2 linked regions of the Danio rerio genome follow. The protein of the gene in region 1 interacts with the protein of each later gene in a biochemical or structural test. Links are inferred from orthologs where the notes say so. Each region holds a gene or a part of one and is shown in the gene's direction. Other genes may lie near its edges. The genes, in order: crk and arhgap32b.

Region 1 (4,575 bases):
GTTTGGCTACGCATTGGTTTGTAATACTGATATTCTGTTGTTGCTGCTGGACATGGATTTTAAAGAGATGTGAGATTTCTCTGTTTGTTAGAATAGATCCTTTAACCTCTAAATGATATTAAGATTTCATTTCTATTTATCCACTGATAATAAAATGATAAAGTGTTTAGTATATACCTATATTTAGTGCCTACTTAAAATTTCACATTATTCATATACGCAATTCAAAATAGTTCAAATATGCCTGTAAATTACAGTGTATTGATTAGATTTGTCTTCATGAAAATTAGACATTTTAAAATTAGATTTGTCTTAATTAATTACCCATTATTTTGAATTCACTTAAGTGAAAATACTATAGTGCGTTAACATCATCATAATAGCTTATAGCAGTAGTCTCAAACTCAATTCTGGAGGGCCACAGCTCTGCATAGTTTAGCTTTATCCACCTCCAACTCACACCTGCTTCATAGTCACTGGTAGTCTTGAACACCTTGATTGGTTGAATCAGCTGTGTTTGATTAGGGTTGGAGCAAAACTATGCAGAGTGGTGGCCATCCAGGATTCCAGTTTGAGAACTATGGCTTATATGATCAGTGTTTTTCTAAGCTCCATCTTCAAATTACGGTTTATTAGCCTACATGAATGGTTTAGTAGCCTTTGTAAAGGTGACCAATATGTTTCAATTTATCATGTCATTTCATGGTCAACAGGTAGCCTCAAAATCTCCTGCTGTGTTTCAAAGCCATATCTTTTAGTCAAGTTGTGCCATTACGGAATATATATCGATAAAAGTGCACTGAAGAGCTGTGAACAATGACTTGGTCAGTATTTCTGTACTCCCACAATGATTAATGAACCAAGGGAAATGCAAGGAATGACAAACCGGAACAGCAATATGTGTATGATTATTTGTAAACAAATAAAAATGTATTTGACTGTTGTTGGTATCAAAACCAATAAACCTTTAACAAATATACACTTCATTTATGCGTTACGCGACGAATAATGTTGGTCGTCAATATGTTTGATTAGACCATTTGAGAGCTGAATTGTAACTGGGTGAGACTGGTAGAAAGACTACAAACTATTAGTAATCGATGTCGACATCTAGTGGTTGCTAATTTTGTGGACTCGCTTGTAAAGGACAGTGTTTACGCACTTCCGTTTTTTTTTTTTTTTGTAATAATTTACAGCACTTTCGACCTTTAAATAAATTAGCGAATATGGTTGATGAAAATCATATTTAACTTATGTTTTAAAGGGATGTCTAATTTGTTAAATTTAGTAGACTAACTGTTAGACCACTTACACTATGTTTGTTTGCTCAGGTAATTTCGGGGTCAGCCCGCTTGGACTGGTTAACAACCTGTTTGGACCAGCCACTTGAACCTCTCACTAGAATTTAACAAAACTGTTATGTTTAGCGGAATTTGGGTTAATACAAAGATTAATGCGATGCAAATTGATCAGTATAACTAATGTAAATTCAGAAGTTATAATTGTGTTCATATGAACAATTCCGAAATACGATTACATAAATTAAAAATAAAAAAAACGGTTGGTGTTAAAAAAAGATTGAAACTCCATAATGATACAAGATAAGGCCTTACTTTCAATATTGACCGCACCAATATGACCACCAACAGACACCATCCGCGTCGGCGGCTATTGCATCACTTCCGGGAAATAAGGTCAAAAATTGTTTCCCTTGTCCGCCATTTGAAATATTTGAACTTCCTTGTGACAACTTCCAATGTACGTTTTGGTTTACACTGGACAATTATCAGAAGTTCTGGGTGAATAGCCGCGGTTTTTGCGTCCCATGCACGTTGGAATACCGACGTCAATTGTTTTGTTAATCGATTGGGCCAAAAAGCGTTGAAAAGTGTGCGAATGCTGCGCGTATTCGAAACGTGTTCAACAACGGAACGCGGTAAAGTTTTTGCATGAGTTGAACGCTGCTTGCGGATAAGGAGAGGCGAAGGGAAGGCCTGTGAAGCCTGGGCTTTTTTCTAGCGCTAGTCATGGCCGGAAATTTTGATTCGGAGGACCGAGGGAGCTGGTATTGGGGGAGATTAAGCCGGCAAGAGGCGGTTTCGCTGCTCCAAGGGCAGAGGCATGGAGTGTTCCTGGTGCGGGACTCGATCACTATTCCCGGGGACTACGTGCTGTCTGTGTCGGAGAACTCCAAAGTCTCTCATTACATAATAAACAGCATCAGCAGCAATCGCCAGTCAGGACCAGGTAAGCGTTTGAACAAATGTATTTAAATACTATTAACGACAGGACGGATAAATACTGCTTTAGCAAAGCGCTTAGCAGCTCGATGAAACTTCTATACTACGAATAGTTGTGCATATTCAGTCTAAAATCTCGCGTCATTCTGGGGTGCTGTGTAACCAGGGGTTCGGTCTTGTACACTACGGGCCCCAAATATCATTCTCGGGTGTAAAATGATTTGTATGCTTTCGTGTATGATGCCAGATTTGTTATGTGAAAATTGTATACAAATTCGTTTTATAATATAATATAGGAAACGTTTAGTTGCAATATGTGTCATTATTTAACATAGTTGTTCAATTGTTCACACGTTAGCAGATTCTTTGAAGTATCTTTATTTTATCTACTTACATTTTGCTTCGTTTGAATCGTGTCTTATAATTTTGTGTTCTTGGTTTGTTTATTTGTTTGTTTATATTAATTTGTGCATATTTATCTTGACTAAATGCTCGTTTATTTCAGTTTCACCCTTATTTTAAAACCGCTGCTTCATTACATTCTTACTCCGACATACATGTCTCACCTTATCAACTTTTTATATAACAAATACAATCTTATTAGTTATGTGTCTGTCATTCATTTGAATTACACGCATTATTATAGGTCATGTCAATCACTTATAACATAAACTCACTTTTTTTGTTTGCAGAAATGATCAGCAATATTTAATTTCCAATCTTTTTTGCTGCTTTTCCCATAGGTTGAACCCATAAAATGTTACATTGTTATACTATGTAGTTTTTGCAACACTTATCAGATTTTCATGGATTAGAGAGAGTTCAGTTTAAATGTACACCCCGATAAAAGTTCTAAACCTATATTAGTTTCTCTTTTCTGTTGAACACAAAAGAAGATATTTTGAAGAATGTTGTAATTAAGTAGCCATTTACACCTCCATATTAGAAATAAAATGCCTACCAAATTCCTATGTTCAGTAACTTTTTTTCGTGTTAACATTATGATGAGTAATTGTGAAAAAATTGAATTTTTTGCTGAGCTACCCCTTTAAATTTAAGCAGATCTTGATTATCCATCCATCATCTCATAATGTCATCCCGCAGGGCTTGCTCCTCCTCGGTTCCGGATTGGAGATCAGGAATTTGATGCCTTACCTGCCCTGTTGGAGTTCTACAAAATCCACTACCTGGACACCACCACTCTCATTGAGCCCATTAGCAAATCCAAGCACTCGTCTTTCATCAGCGTCAATGCGGGGACAGGAGGAGCTCCTCCGAGGCTAGAAGAGGAGTACGTCAGAGCTCTCTTCGACTTTCCCGGCAACGACGACGAGGACCTTCCATTTCGAAAGGGTGATGTTCTTCGAGTGCTGGAGAAGCCAGAGGAGCAATGGTGGAATGCTCAGAATTCAGAAGGCCGTGTTGGCATGATCCCTGTGCCCTATGTGGAGAAGTACCGACCTGCCTCACCGACATCAGGTGCACCTGGCGTATCAGTCAGTGGGTCCGGTGCTCACGGCAACTCTGACGGCCACAGCACTCAGTCTCCACCTCTGCTTGGTGAACCGGGCCAATACGCCCAGCCCACATCCTTACCCAATCTACAGAATGGCCCAGTTTATGCCAGGGCGATTCAGAAGAGAGTCCCCAATGCCTATGATAAGACAGCTCTTGCTTTGGAGGTAACAAATGTAAACTTTTCTGAGATATTAATAAATATAAAAATGAAAATATTGCATCATTTATGAACCTTCAAGTTATTCTAGATGTATCCAGTAGTCAGCATTTGAAGTGGATCAAAACCTTCCATCTTAAGTTGTACTAAAATAGTCCTATTTAACAACATCCATTCTTGCCATGATTGTCAGAACTTTATTTGATCTACTTTAAATGTGGACTACTATATGTCCTATTCCTGACAAACACTAATGTGACTTAGCTTTGAATTGCAAGTAAATGTACACAATGTTTGCTTCAAAAAAGCACATTAATGTGTTATAAGTCATTCATACTGCTCAGTGGGTTATTTAATATTTTCTGAAGCAAAGTGTTAAGTTTTTGAAAGAAAAAAAATGCTTATTTAAAAGATTATAAGCTCATATAAACTGGAGCTGCACAATTATTTAAACACAATGTTCATGCACGTCGTTTTGTGAGTAAAAGCCAGCTCTGTGGTCAGTAGTATATCTCCAGCTTTCAAATGGAGCACCATTTACTAGTTACTCATAGTTCATGATCTGTTTGGTAAATGCAGCTACATCTAAAATCAAATAAAGATACCACATTTAACATGTTTTAACTTCCAATTTGTCTTTGAGATAATGTGGCTATTTCT
Region 2 (4,437 bases), on another chromosome or scaffold:
AATAAAGATACAAAATATACCAAATTAAATTTGTTACAAAAAGAGCCTTTTGCCAACCAAATTAGACTTTATGAAGTGGTCATAATTGTTTCAATGTTTCCTGTATTTTCTTATTAGATCTTTTTCTTATCAGATAAGAATCGAGATTGTCGCGATTGTTGCAACTACTAAATCCTATTGACAGGAGCAGAAATGAACTGATTCAGATTCAAACTGAAGCATCAGAAAACGTGCAGTAGGCTACCATAAAAGGCGTGAATTCTACAGTTTGCAACTATAAGATGCTCTACAGACTATTCAAATAAAATTGTCAATTGTTGCACAAACGTGTGAGCAATTTAGTTACTTTTTCACATGCAACGTATTGTCCATTAGACCATTAATGATGATACTACCATTTACAAACTAGAGTGGCATTGCCAGTATTTTAGAGCCATTGTATCACGATACTACCATGGTACCGGTAAACCGTGCAACCCTAAAAGTTAGCTTAACTTAATCACAGAATTGTTAAATTAATGACATTTACTAAACTCAAAAAAAGCTTTTTGCTTCTTGTTTAAATTATTTTTTAAAATGAGCTAAAACAACACAATTCTTGATATGTTTGAGGGTGCAACTTAATTGTTCTATGTTTAGTCCACTTAAATTTGTAAAAACAGTTTAACTTAATTGATTTCTGTTGGAACAACACAAAGAAATTGTGCTTAACCAAGTATTTTCTACAGTGTCCCGACACAGACAGTTTTTTTTGAAAAATCTAAAAAATCTCTCTCTCTCTCTCTCTCTCTCTCTCTCTCTCTCTCTCTCTCTCTCTCTCTCTCTCTCTATTTTATCTATCTATATAATTTTAAGTTAATATTTTTGCTTTAGTCTTGTTTAGTCTTATTATTATACTTTTTACAATTCCAGATATGTCTCAATATATTATATTCGTTTAAAACATTCACTTTAAGTAGGACACCAGACAAACCAATACAGCAAAAACACGGTTATTCCTCAGCATTTTGTGCCTGTGGTGACAGCAGTTCAATAGATGGAGCTGAAGATCAGTTCTGAAGCATTCTGCTGTCGTCACAATCCATTCATTCATTAAATTGAAAGCTAGATTTTATATTATTTATAAAATATTTTTTTGCTTTCGACTTTCCTCAGGTCATGAAGTTAGGATCTGTGCTGCCTCCTTATATTGCACTATGGGTTAATGTGACGTTTTGCATAATTCATATAAAAGCAGACCGTCTGCTCTGGTGTCTGTGTAAGAGAACGAGTACAGTTCGACAATTCATGATCTAAACAAAAGAAATACAACAAGCACTAACAAGAAATTACCACATAACGGTAACTATTAAACGACACAGTGCGTGAGCTCCGGTAAAATTGATCTAGACTTCTGCGCCAATCGCGCTTATGTGGTCACGGTGACGCGCATGGAGCACCACTGCGCGGTCACGCTTTTGAATGTTGAACCGAAGTCTCCCGTGGCTGTACGTGTGGCTCAGCCTACAGGACAACACACCTCTCTACATGTATGACCAAATACTGAAATGGACGGCAGATACGGGACAGGTTTAGTCTCATTTTCAGTCATATATTTTTAAAGTTTAAACAGGAACGCCGCGCGAACAGCTGGTTGGTTGTAGCATAGCTGCGAAGCTAGCTCGGCAAACCCCTTCCCCAAAAGGAGATTTTAATGAACCTTCATTATTTCGTTCTTCAGAGGTGCAGTTTTCTTCAGCACACTTCTGTCCGGTGTGTACTTTTTGGCCGTTTTCATTTAATTCTGTTAATTTCACGATGCGACTCTCTGGCACCGGGTTTCTCGGCTGGCTCGTTGTCGTCTTCGAGGAGGATCACTGGAGAGAGCGGTGCTGAGCCATACGGACACCCTGATATTCATCTACTCGGTGATTTACAGCTTTCTACCATCGGTAAGTGCATCAACATAGCATATTACCTTTATATTTATTCATAACTTGTGAGTGAAACGGTTGAGCGAGCGGTGAAAGTGGAGTGAATTGAATGTGTGCGCGCGCGTGCACTCGCGTGCTCCCCTATAATAAACTCTGCTAAATGGAATTTTATTGTGTATGAATTGCATTTTCTTCCGTTTGATTTATTTATTTTAATAAACCAGTGTGCCTGGGGCGTTTGAATCGATTATAATGTTCTGTCTGTGATAGAATATACCAGACTGTAGGTGGTAGACTGTTTATTCTGTAGCCTACTTTTTACGGGTGCATAAACTTAGTAGCTGTCTCTACTTGTTATCGTTAAATAGTCGACGATGAGATAAAGAATCGGAGTCAAAAACGAATTACCCTTTATAAAGATGGTATGTTTTGTGTTTCAAATGGATTTAGACGCCGATTTAATTTCGAAGATTACGAAGAGAATACATACAATTCAGGTCTTACTTGCACTGTTTTCTTTGTTCTGGACTTGTTTTTTCAGTTTTTTAGGAGTCTAGAACAGCTAAAATGACGGTGATCCAGCTACAATTTTTAATAATATTTTCTTACACGTTTTATATTTTCCTCTAAAATCCAATTTGAAAAAGCAACATTTATTTCTGTCTCAGAAACGGCATATAAATATGTTGTAATGGAAAGCTTTATCCTAAATTAATCTTTATTTGACAAGCCAATTATTCTCGTCACACCACCCTCTGTTTAAACTATAGACAAATAAAAAATAGCTCAGTTCTTGCTCTCTCTTTAATTTTGAAGGGATTTGCCATCACAAATCAATGTTTTGATCTAAAGCCAATAGTTTGGTTAGATATTAAAAATGCTCTCTTTGTGGCCACTTCACTGTAGAAAAATAATGACGTGACTGAAATTATATTAAAGTCTCTGAAAGATTTCCAGACCTGACATTAAGCCTATAGAGTCAGCTGGAAGCATCTTTCTGCATATTGGAGCTCTGTGCTCTTGGGCTGTGCTCAAAATATTGATTTTGGTGATAGAATTACAGCACTGTGTATATGCATAAAGCTAACCTATATTAGTCTTTCTTGAGTTTTATTTTTGAGCTGCCTCACTGACAGCAAATCTACAATGAACTACATCAAATCTCTCCAGATGCTTTTATGTGTGAACAGTGCCATCTCAACCTTAGTGTTTATATCAAACAAATGGACTGAGATGAATGCAGCACAGACCAAAGACATTGTGAACTGAAAACAGGACATAATGTCATAAAATATGACCATAAAAAGAGAATACCCTTGTAAGTGTCTTGATTTTCTTGTCATATTTGTAATGTTGCTGGTTTGTGTGTATGAATTTCTGGGAGTGTTTTGACTACTTTATAGAAGCTCAGCTTTTCATGAGCGCCAAATTGATAAAAATACACGTTTAGACCTGTGCAGAACATTGTTTAAGATGATTGTTTATTCTATAAAACATTTTTGACATAATATTGTTTTGATTACTAATATAATTAGGGCTGGGCGATATGGCAAAAATGCAATCTTGGTAATTATTGTCCATATTGAACGATAATTATATATATTTCGATATTAGTTGTTAATGCTTTCAGATTTGAAAGAGTAACCTAACAACGACTGAAGTTTTTATCAATACTGATAAAACTTTTTTAATTAATATTGACAATGGTGTTCGGTCAATACATTTTAATACCGATTTTATCACCCAGGCCTAGTATAATATATTTTTGACTGATAAATGTTTGATAGTGGGTGACGCAGTGGCGCAGGGGGTAGCCTCACAGCAAGAAGGTCGCTGGGTCGCTGGTTCGATCCTCGGCTCAGTTGGTGTTTCTGTGTAGAGTTTGCATGCTCTCCCTGCGTTCGCGTGGGTTTCCTCCAGGTGCTCCGGTTTCCCCCACAGTCCAAAGACATGCGGTACAGGTGAATTTGGTAGGCTAAATTGTCCGTAGTGTATGAGTGTGTGTGTGTTAGGGGTGTCCCGATTTCGATTTTTAATCGAAATCGATTGAAATTTATGCTTAATTTCGATTATCGAATCAAAAAATAGAATCGTCGATGCTGCTGCCACACCCCCATGTCACGTTAGCTTGGCTTGCCAAGCGAGAAAAAAAACATGCTTGTTGAAGTGCTTGTTAAACTGCAAACGCAGGAGACCCGTCGACAGAGCTTAAACCCTCTCCTCTTTCAATGAAGTTACTTATTCCAGTTACTTATGTTGACAACGTTCGTTTTGTCGACAAAAAAAAAAAAACACAGTTTGCAAGCTCTGCTATGTACGTATTACGGTTGGGATGATAGACGATGGGCGCATCGCGATCCTCCGCCCACACCCGTTGCAAATCTGCTCTTAAATGGCATTTCAGAACGACAACGATCCACATCCACACTGCTGTGTAGCATTTCTGAGCAGCCCTCCTTCCTCACTACCGTTGAAAACACACATCACGTGACCACACACACTCATTCACACACAGATACAGACG

The links.
Region 2: the proteins of crk (region 1) and arhgap32b form a complex in vitro, tested with the Homo sapiens proteins (2 studies listed by BioGRID and IntAct, with this or other methods). The link is inferred for Danio rerio from reciprocal best matches to the Homo sapiens genes CRK and ARHGAP32.

What each region holds. Positions count from the first base shown.
Region 1 is NC_133190.1:27,216,517-27,221,091, forward strand, and holds the start of crk (adapter molecule crk), read left to right. Parts: upstream 1-1,724; 5' UTR 1,725-2,027; coding exon 2,028-2,247; intron 2,248-3,344; coding exon 3,345-3,922; intron 3,923-4,575. UniProt on the Homo sapiens protein: Involved in cell branching and adhesion mediated by BCAR1-CRK-RAPGEF1 signaling and activation of RAP1.
Region 2 is NC_133196.1:26,121,599-26,126,035, reverse strand, and holds the start of arhgap32b (rho GTPase-activating protein 32), read left to right. Parts: upstream 1-1,434; 5' UTR 1,435-1,931; intron 1,932-4,437. UniProt on the Homo sapiens protein: GTPase-activating protein (GAP) promoting GTP hydrolysis on RHOA, CDC42 and RAC1 small GTPases. May be involved in the differentiation of neuronal cells during the formation of neurite extensions.